3 linked regions of the Kluyveromyces lactis genome follow. The protein of the gene in region 1 binds, or shares a complex with, the protein of each later gene. Links are inferred from orthologs where the notes say so. Each region holds a gene or a part of one and is shown in the gene's direction. Other genes may lie near its edges. The genes, in order: NUP188, POM152 and NUP2.

What was found.
Region 2: NUP188 (region 1) and POM152 share a complex: the UniProt entries of both Saccharomyces cerevisiae proteins name them as parts of the nuclear pore complex. The link is inferred for Kluyveromyces lactis from reciprocal best matches to the Saccharomyces cerevisiae genes NUP188 and POM152.
Region 3: NUP188 (region 1) and NUP2 share a complex: the UniProt entries of both Saccharomyces cerevisiae proteins name them as parts of the nuclear pore complex. The link is inferred for Kluyveromyces lactis from reciprocal best matches to the Saccharomyces cerevisiae genes NUP188 and NUP2.

The regions. Positions count from the first base shown.
Region 1 is NC_006041.1:972,578-976,336, reverse strand, and holds the start of NUP188 (Nup188p), read left to right. Parts: upstream 1-1,517; coding exon 1,518-3,759. Other genes in the region: RSN1 (Rsn1p), read left to right, coding at 1-153; inorganic diphosphatase PPA2, read left to right, coding at 370-1,263. UniProt on the Saccharomyces cerevisiae protein: Functions as a component of the nuclear pore complex (NPC).
Region 2 is NC_006042.1:1,588,844-1,592,602, reverse strand, and holds the start of POM152 (Pom152p), read left to right. Parts: upstream 1-1,480; coding exon 1,481-3,759. Other genes in the region: putative divalent metal ion transporter SMF3, read right to left, coding at 1-325. UniProt on the Saccharomyces cerevisiae protein: Functions as a component of the nuclear pore complex (NPC).
Region 3 is NC_006038.1:545,644-549,206, reverse strand, and holds NUP2 (nucleoporin NUP2), read left to right. Parts: upstream 1-947; coding exon 948-2,933; downstream 2,934-3,563. Other genes in the region: SGD1 (Sgd1p), read right to left, coding at 3,033-3,563. UniProt on the Saccharomyces cerevisiae protein: Functions as a component of the nuclear pore complex (NPC).

The DNA.
Region 1 (3,759 bases):
GTCGTTGAAATTTCTGATGAAGGTGCTCGTTTCACAGAATCTGGCTCTATTGAGTGGGAAACTGCTCCACCTTCTTACAATGATTCTCAAATGCAAGTTGTATCTAATCCGTTTGACGAACAAGATGAAGATAATCTTCAGAGAGAGGAATAATCGTCAAGATCCAATCTAAGCCATTTTCTCTTACCATGTTGTGTAAGCTTTTAATTTATCTTTTTGTAATATTTCCACTAATCACTGATTAAATAATAATTTGTCTATTAAATTTCAAGCTTACCGAATTACAACCAAACACTAAGGAATCGTGGTCCAGTCGAGTCTGGGTATCCCACAGAAAGGATTCATTCCATAGTTGCTGTGTGGGAATTGATGTCTAGAGATATGAGAAGGGCTTCGCAACATTTGAGGTTGATTGGCAACCATTTACATGCTAGAAACTACCACAACGTTTTGGTTGGAAGCAAATACTCATCGTCTTTTAAACAGTACTTGCAGCTGCCAAACGGTGAAATTGGGTCCTATTTCCACGATGTGCCATTAGACTTAGATGTTGATGCCAAAACATGTAACATGATCGTAGAGGTTCCACGTTGGAGTAATGGGAAGTTTGAAATCAGTAAGACCGAACCATTTAACCCCATCACACAGGACATAAAGAAAGGCAAGCCACGATTTGTCAATAACATTTTCCCTTACCATGGATACATTCATAACTATGGGGCTATCCCACAGACATGGGAACAGCCACTTATTGAAGTATTGCCCGGTTTCAAGGGTGATAATGACCCATTGGACTGTTGTGAAATTGGTTCCAGCATCGCCAAAATGGGAGATATCAAAAAAGTAAAGCTTCTAGGGTCATTAGCCCTCATTGACGATGGAGAACTCGATTGGAAAGTCATTTGTATCGACATTGAAGATCCCATTGCTATAAAATTGAACAAGTTGGCAGATGTAGACACTGTTATGCCTGGTCTCTTGGATGCAACTAGAACATGGTTCAGAGATTACAAGATTCCTGCTGGGAAACAACCTAATGTGTTTGCATTCGAAGGTGAGTACCAGGACCAAGCATCTACACTTTCTACGGTACAAGAATGTCACGAAGCCTGGAATGCTCTAGTTAGGGGAGAAATTAAAGCAGATGGATCAGAGGCCGAGATTCCCTCCATTGTCAGAGCGGGAACTCACATAAGAGTTGAACCTAATCAACAAAATGACACACCAATCCCACAAGAAGTGGACAAATGGTACTATGTATGAACTTAAAAGCAGTCAGTGGTCAGTAAGCTTCTTCGGTTAGGTTAACCTGGCACAGCTCATCTCCTCTTATTATGCCTTTATGATATACATGTCCAATATTTTGATGTTACCCTCTCTCATATGTAGTGCAAAATTTTAATGTAAACAAAACTATATTTAATGAAACTATTCGATCTAACAATTAAGACGATGAGACAGTGGTACAGATTCACGTCAACTAAAGGCTATTGCGCTGGCCAGGTGTACCGTGCAGCATGTCATCTTTATCATTTGCTGGAATTTGTGCGTTTCTCCGCTCTGGGGAATACGATAAGGTACATAATGAGCCTACTTTCCAGGCAATCGATAAATTCTTGAAGGACAACGAAGAGATACTGGTTCATCTTTCGAGGTTTACCTCAGTTGAAAACACTGATTCCGTTGGAAAACAGCTGCAATTGAGGGGTTATTCATATAATGTGACGGTAGAGGACGAAAAATTGGCCAATGAGCTTTCAATTGCGTTAAATGTACATCAAAAAGAGTGTTTGAGAGTTATTTCGCAGACCAGGACCAGGTTCCCAGATTGTCCAATGGAAAAAGATACCATCGTTAAACAGATCTTACATGAAAGAAACTGTGTCTTGGATACAACCCTCGTTTTATTAAATCATGATTCTTTCCCAGTTTTAAAGGGCTCCATGTTACAACTTGTCTACAAGAATAGGTCCACAATGATATCAGAAGCAATTCTTCTGGTCAAGAACTGTGTAGCACTTATCGGCTCAGCAGAGCAAAATGATTCTTATAAGAGCTCATTAATGTCGTATGATCTTATTTATATTACAAATCTATTGAATTTGATCGCATTCGTAAGCTTGAATCAACCAGTGGGTCTGGAAATTATCACAAAATGGTACGAGTTGCTCGAAGAAACACAGTATTTCGCCATACTCAAGGATAATAAAGATGTCCCATCAGAGATCTACAACATGGCAAATTCTTTAATGATAATGGATACTATTATAATGACAGGATATAATACAAGCGAAGACACGATAGACGTAAAATCGTCTTTTTTTAATGACGCTGCGACTTTCAGAAGGCTTCTAGATCTCATAATAAACACAGATCCGCCAGCAATTATTGTATACTACTGGTCTTTCATCTTATATTCCAAATCGTATCTGTTAGAAGAAGATCCTGAAAATAATCTGGAATTCGTGCAGCAAGTCTTCAACTCACAACCCATTTCGAAGCTAATCAAAGAGTTTGCCCTTACTGCAGAGAATGAAAATGTTTTCGAAGAGATTTCTAAGGTTTCACAAATATTCAAAGATCAAGCCTTCTTTGCGGCTATACTGACTTCCTTCATCACTTTTTCGTTGTATTTCGTTCCAATCAGTATAAAGACTTCCAAAATGATCAAAACTGTCCTCAGTAACGCACCAACTCATTATGTGGAAAAGTTCTTGACAAACAAAGAATTTGAGAAAAAATTCTTCTTGATAAAAACAAAGGCTCCGCTGTTGAAAGAGTCACTCATTCCAATGATAAACATAACCTCAGCGAATGCTGAATTTGCAAATTTTGAGTGGAAGGAACTTCCCACCTATGTCCAAGAGGTTGTATTGGGAAGTCTAGAGTACGACTTAGCTGATGATGCACACTCAACAGATTTGATATCCATAAAGAGTGAGACCTTTGCTCGAGTACCGTTGGAACCTAGTGGGAATGTTCTCTTACCAATTCCGAAGGACACGAAGGCTAAGATCTTACCTTCAGTAACTAATGATGACGTCGTGATGTTCTTGTATAAATATAACGGTTGGTCATTATTGGGTAGAGTCCTTCAAAATGCATGCGATAGATATCTGTCCACTTCATCTGCTGGTGTTCAAGATTCTGATGTTCAGGAAATGATATTATCAATGCTGGATCTAATTTCTAGTGTTATAGGAAGTGGTATCTCGGTGGAGAAATCGGCCGATATTCTACTACAAATGTCTACCTATCTTACAGAAGATTACATTTTTGATGTTATTTTCAAAGTCTTCGAACAATCTTTGCATTTAAGAGACTATGACGTTATTGATCATTGTCTCAACCTACTCATCAGTTCCATAGATGACTTTTCTCAGTTCGTATGGTCGCATTTAGCAAGATCTGAACTCCTTGATAGGTATGGCAAATCCGGATTGATTTCTAGTGTCTTGGGCACCATGGAATTACCAAATGGAAACTACTCAATAACAATCAAGATTATCAAATTGGCGCAACAATTAGTTCTAGAATCTCTAACACTAGAGACAGAATTCCCAGAAAATCTGAAAAAGGAAATTCTTTCGAAATTCTTTCAGCATTTCATACATGTTTATGAAAGTTATCAATACTGGAACTATCGTTCCATAGCTGAGAAATATGAGCTAGGAACAAACTTAACCATCTTGTTTACGACTGTCGTTTACAATATTTATGGTATCGATCCATCTAATCCGCCAGAAACTAAAATTACTA
Region 2 (3,759 bases), on another chromosome or scaffold:
TTGCGATAATTGCAACTTCTGCAAACCCGTATAGAATATAATTAACACGCTTTGAAAAATGACGACGGCAGTTTTCAGCTAAATCCAAACCAGTGATTGTACCTAGCTTGATGCAGAGGCATTGCAAGACAATCGCAAATATGTTTGAAATGAATGTGATGAACAACAATTTGTATTTAAATTGTGCACCACCTGACACACTAGTAGAATAGTTCCCAGGGTCCATGTATGCAACACTGACCATGATCCCAGGTCCGACAAACTTCATAAACTTCCTCAAAATTTCAACATGGTTCCTCTCGAATACACGAGATAGTATAAGCATGGCAGTTTCACAGTTTAGATAATCTTTAAGTACCAACAGTAACGTGCCAAGAATAAATTACCGTCTTTCGTTCCTTTATCTAAATTCCAATAAACAGAGAATGAAAACAGCAGAACTATCACCAATTTACAACACAGAATATCTGACCTCTATTGAGCTAGCGCCTCAAACTCTTACAGATTCTAACGTATCGTGTTTTAGCAAACTCTCTTCTCGTAAATGACTTATTTGTAAGAGTGCAAATCAAATAAATCAAAACCTTAAATTTCTAAACTTCTTTTATAGAAGGAGATTCAAATGCACCTCTGTAATGTTATATACGACGAACGTGAGAGCTGTATATGGTGTTGAAAACAAATAAGTTCCAGTGCTCCAGTTGTGATTCAAAAAAGGAGACGATCCTGGACAATGGAAGTATCTCGATTCCAACCAAAACATTCTTTTTCTCTCTGGTAAATATATATATTATATATGTTAGGACCCTTAGCTATCATTACTATTACTGAATCTGGCATTCAAATTTGCCGAGGTTTTTATCAGATGAGGTCATGATAAAACTTACCTAATTCAGGATTCATTAGCCAGATGGGGTAAAGACATTTGCTTACTAGCATTTATGTCCTCCTTGCTTCTGACTAGGGTTTTATGAGAGGATGACGGGAATTTGACGGGAATTTGACGTAAGCAATGGAGCTATGCAACGGAATCGACATTATAATATCGATGCAAACGATCTCACTGGTAATTCTGGATAGGCGAAGAATTCAAGAGGCTATAATTCGAATATTAAGACCACAACGTAGTGGCAGATCATATAGAGTTGCTGCGTCCTTGACCATTGTACCTTGATCAGAAGCGAAACCTGAATCGTACATAATGATATATCCGATTCAGATCTTGTCAACAAACAGAAGTTCAAACTTTAAGCTTATGTTTGGTCTTCTCATGTATGCAGATGCAGGCTAGGATCAACAAGCAATCGCGATCCAGGCACCCGTTACATACCAATCGTCAATTAAAAAGCGAGCGACTAAGTGATAAGTTGTATGCGTGATCCCATTTTTTTCTATTAAACTTCTGCGTATTGGCACTTTAGAATCATATTCTGTTGAAAAGGGAAGCTGAGATAAGTTCAGACGCATATACAGTTAGATAATGGATTCCAGTTTCGGAACAAATGGGTTCTATACACATACTCCATCGATGTGGAGTGATAGTAGGCGTAGGAACGTTGGAAATAGAGATAAAGACTCGTTCAGAGGAGGAATAAGCGATCGAAGAAATGAAGAGATCAACAAACCAAAAGAAGATCCATTTTGTATATCCGGTTTTTCCAATTACACAGGAAAATCGAAGTCAAGCACTAGTAGAGCAAAGAATGGCCCAGCGAGTGAATCGATTAAGGAGCTACCTTTGATTTCTACTGAAGTTCTCGATGCAGCCAGTCAGAGAAGATTAGCCTTCGTCGTTTTTTTTATCATTCAATGCTACAAACTATACGATCTAATCCTACTTAAGAGTGGGATACCATTATCTGGGATTTTTCTATCGAATTCAAGGTTAAACTTCATTTCAAAATATTTGGTAATAGACTCTTTGTTCTTTTACTGTCTCCCCACGTTCAAAATACCCAAATTAAAGTTCAAACCACTGATAGTGCTTTTGCAGATTATTTCATCCGCAACCCTCACACTGTTTATCTCCAGTGAACAAAGTATCCCATTGGTATCGCTTCTATTGTCATTATGGAGACAGTATCACAGCAGAGACTTGTCCTTAACAGGTGACTCTGTCAACCCAAGAAAGGCTATGAATTCGGCAGAACACTTCAAAGGTGCACATACCATTAAAATTTTGCCAGAAAATACAGCATATTTGAATCCCTTCCACTCGTCTTTTTGTCTACCACTGGACCAATCTGGTCCTGCCATTGAACTACCTATAAGAGTCAACTCATCATCCACAATCAATACAGTCCAGTTAGAGTTCAGAGATCTATACTCAAATGAAGGTGAACTGTGGAACTTCACCAAGAACGATTTAAAACCACTCAAGGCAGATATTTCAAAGGAAGAAACTGATCGTAACATACATTACTTTACTGTACCTCTTAACAAAATCGGGTTTTACCAGTTGAAAACCGTTCTAGACACTAATAATATCAATTTGAGAATATACAAATCCCAATTAGTGCTACCTCACTGCCCATTGGCTTCCATTAACGGAAAGGGAGAAAATGATAGATGTGTTGGAGATAATGATGAGGTTTCAATTCAGGTACAAGGTGCTCCACCTCTTAAATTGACTTATACTAAGACAATCAATGGCCAAAGATACGTACTAGAAGATTCATCACTTCAACCAGAATATTTTGAATCACCTTTGCTAACGAATTCAAAATTCTACAGTCAAAAAGATGTCCAAGATTTAAAATGGGCTCGTTCGTACCCTGTAGATATCGCATTAGAAACTTCAACCAAAGAATACGGTGAACATGTTTACTCTATCGAAAGAATTGTGGATGGATTTGGTAATAGCATTGATTTTTCCTCATTATCATCACAAGTAAGAGAAAAGTATGATTTGATCCACAGATTCTACGTGCACGACTTACCAAGAGTATCTTTGGATGAAAAAATGAATCCCGACAGTTCTGTTAGAAGGTCTTTAATAGTCAAATTGGACTCTGGCGATTTTAACAAGGATGCTCCATTCATCGTTCAGTTATCCCATGAAGATAACAACTCCAAAGTGAGATACTTCGAAAAACAATTCAATGATAAAACATTAGAATTCAAAGTTGATGAGCCAGGTTCTTATAATTTGCTCTCAGTAAAATCGAGGTATTGCCACGGTGCCGTGATTGGAAAATCTAATGTTCTGATAACTAAACCAATTCCTCCTCAATTATCTGTAAGATCAACCCCAATATTAGATCAATGTGTTGGACAGGTCGGCTTGAATTTTGATCTTACTTTTACCGGTGTTCCTCCCTTTTACTACAAAACAAAAATATACAAAACTGAGCAAGGAGAACGTAAACTATATGATACAAAAAAATTCAGCTCCCAAGGAACCAGAAACCAGTTTACTTATTCACCCACATCAGAAGGCAGTTATGAAATTGTTTTCACCGAATTGTCAAATGAACTTTTCACATCTCCTATCTCCTTAGATTCGAAAGAGTACACATTCAAAACCAGCATGAGAGTGAAACCTAGTGCAAAGATTTCAGGGAAGCTAGAGACAAAATTATGTCTTGGAGGGAAAACGAAGGTACCTATTAAATTCAGTGGTGAGCCTCCTTTCACGTTAAACTATGATTTAGTAGAGACTTCTTCTAATAAGAGAACTTCGTTTAATAAAGAGAATATTCAAAGTTTTTCCTATGAGATCGAAACACCTAATTTCAACATTGGTGGTGATCATATCCT
Region 3 (3,563 bases), on another chromosome or scaffold:
CTGGTTTCTTCTTGAATGAACTCAAAAGTAAATAACCCTATAATAATCAAGGTGCTACTTTAAACAACTTGTTAATATCTCTAAGTTGCAATTCAATGTAAATCAAAAAATGAATATTCAATCCGAAGTGAGTTTGTCCAGGACGCAAAGTATTCCTCTTCCTACCGGAGAAGCAGAGAAAGTGAAGCAGGATAACGAGGATTGCGACAAATGGACTCATTTTGGAAAGGAGATAATTTCCTCTTTAGGAAGGAAATAACGCATGAGAAAATATACAAAGTTCAACTTTCGGATATATAACGTGGTGTCTGGATCCAACAAAACAGTCCCGTAATACAACATTAAAAATAAGAGCGCTATAAAACAGATGTTTCATCTGATAGATTAGCAAGTTTTACACCAACAAGTCCTACATGGTGTTACGGCCATCGTACTTGCCACCTGCGTCAACTAATGAGGTAAGAAATCATTGCACGTGTGTCGGTTATAACGGTGGCTATTGCAAATAATCCCTGAAAGCATAACAACGTTTTATATTCCGATATAGTGTAACGGCTATCACACCACGCTCTCACCGTGGAGACCCGGGTTCGACTCCCGGTATCGGAGGAGAAAGCGATTCGAAAGTTTCGCTAAATACTTTTTACATTTTTACTCCCCTGAGCAACCCATCACAAGCAGAATAACATGTAGTCACGTGTTCAGCATAAGTCATCCCACACGAGTCAACAGTATATTGAAGGATTTAGAATTTCGAGCTGCTTTATTATTATTTCTGGTGTTAGTATCATCAATTCTCATGTTGATGTCTGAATGCTTACACATCAGCAATCCTTAAACTCCTTTTCTGCTACTTCCGGTTGCTTCCCGTTAGTTCAATTCGTTTCTGATTAAGAAAGTGACTTCTCTTGAGCTGATCTTTCCAAGCACAATACTCACTGTAGGATATGTCAAAGAGATTTGCGGGTTCTCAGATGACCAGAGAAGGTCTTGAGAACGGACATAGTAATAATGTTTCAGATGACGAGACTCCATTTGATAAACCTGCCGTTGCCAGCGAATCTGTAATGAGTACCAGAAAAATTGCAATGCCAAAGAGGAAAATGGGAGGATTTACTGCGGGTGATAAACCTAACATGTTCAAAGTGATAAAGGATGACAAGAAACCTCAAGGCACTGACTTAAACGAAAAACTCACGGCATTGAACGTGCAATTCAAAAATAAAATAAATTCTACATTGGAATCAGATCCAGTTGCTGATATTTCTTTCCTGTTCGATAAATACAAGACCTATTCGCAACAGTTAAGGTCAGAAGCGAAAACTAATGGCGCTGCAAACGCTCCTCCAACTAGCTCATTCACATTTGGTACCACATCAGCAAATGTGGAGAAACCTAAAAATCCATTTGCATTCGCAAAGCCTAGCGCAGCACCATCATTTGCTCTACCTTCGGAGGTGACTAAACCGACAACGACCGTAACGGAAGAGAGACTGCAAGATAAAAAAGAACAAATTGAGATTAACAGCGATAGTGATTCTGAAGAGGAAAAACCAGCCGTTAATGTTGAAGGCCCAAAGTTTGTCTTGGCTAAGAAACCAACGACGTCTGATCCGCCTTTCAGCTTCGGTGGGAATAAGCGTAAGGAACCTGACAGCGATAGCGACAGCGAGATAGAGATCAAGGGACCCCAATTTACGTTTAATGGGACTGTATCGTCCAGTGCCTTTACTTTACCAAAGAATGATGCTTCAAGGACAGAGGAATCTGAACCAGCTGAAAAACCAACGGATAACAAGCCAGCTAGTATATTTGGGAACTCTTCACAATCTAAACCAACATTCCCTCCTTCTGCGTCCGCACCATCCATAGAGAAAAATGAGGGAAGCAAACCAGCTCTTCCTGCCTTTGGGTCAAATAAGGCTGATAATGGTAATTCATCATCTCCGTTCTCATTTTCTTTCAGCAACAATAAAGATTTGGCCAAAGAAAGTGAAAATAAAAAGGAAGAAGCAAAGCCAGCTAGCACCTTCGGTACATTCTCTGCCCCTGCTCCATCGGCGGACTCTAAACCATCGTTTAGCTTCTCTGCTCCAGTGCAAAGGACAGCAACTGAAAACAAAGATTCATCAAAGCCTTCCTTTACATTTGGAGCTATGGGCAAGGAAAACAGTAATGATGAAGCTAAAAAGCCTTCTTTCACATTCGGTACCTCAACAACCTCTGAAAAACCGGCTGAGTCATCTAAACCTTCATTTACATTTGGTAAAGCTTCAACAGGCTCCACTCCTTTCACTTTTGGAAAACAGGAGACCGACAAAAAAGATGAGAAAAAACCTACGTTTACGTTTGGGGCAACAGCAGCATCAACTGTACCAGCATTCAGTTTTGGTGCCAACAAATCTGAAGAGGCGCCTCCACAAGGTGAATCATCTGGCTTCAAGATCTCTTTACCCTTTGCCTCATCTGCTCCAACATCTGATAAGGATACTGCCAAGGAAGTTAGTGAAAAAAACAGCGAAGACGCATCTGCTGAGGCACAAGAAGAGCCATCTAAAACTTTGAATCTATCGAACGGTGAGGAGAATGAGAATCTACTCTTTTCGCAACGCGCCAAGCTAATGATTTTCAATACTGAGACGAAAGCCTATGATTCCCGTGGTGTAGGTGAATTGAAGGTTTTGCAAAACAAGGAAGACAATACAAAAGCAAGAATACTTTGTAGGTCAGACGGTATGGGTCATATTTTGCTAAATACTAGTATTATAAAGTCATTTTCCTATGAAGCATTAGATCCAAATAATGAGAATTTGGTTAAGTGTCCTGCAATTAAAGCGGAAGGAGGGTTAGACACATACGTCGTAAAAGTGAAACAAAAGGCTGATGGTAGAAAATTAGTACAAGCGATCAAGGATGCTCAATCACCGATGTAAAATTAAGTACATTTAACTGTTAATTAATAGAACTATTTGAACTTAGTTCATATATGCATGTGTAACTATTAAAATGGCAAAAAAAAGTACTTAAAATAGTCAATCTTCAGCACCTTTGAGCTCCTCTTCTATCAGTTTTTTGAAAGATGCAACTGCCCAAGACAGTCTTCTACTTTCTCTATCATGTTCTTTTGAGCCTTTCATACCTGAAATATACTTGATATAATCAAAATGCTTAGATATAAACCATCTTAGCGCTTTTAAAATAACATTCTTATTCTGAATGTTAATACCTTTCTCGATCAAAGAAGACAAACCATCAGAGTTATACTCAAATGTTTTCTTTCCATCTCGTTTGATCTTTATTTCGGCTGCCTTACCTTCGGAAAGGAACAACTGGAAAAGCAAAATATCAAAGAAGATTATTCCATCTGAGTTGAGTCCTGCCATTAACGGAACATGCTTGAAAGCATCAAGTTTCAAGTGACCTTCTGCTATTAAATGGCCAAAGAATCGGCCTTGCTTAGCCAATCTTTGTAATCTAGTGTCTTCATCAACAGTGTCTTCATTGCTGAACAAGGTATCTTCCTCATCATCTGAATGTGTCTCAAGCTCGAACTTCTTCACAAT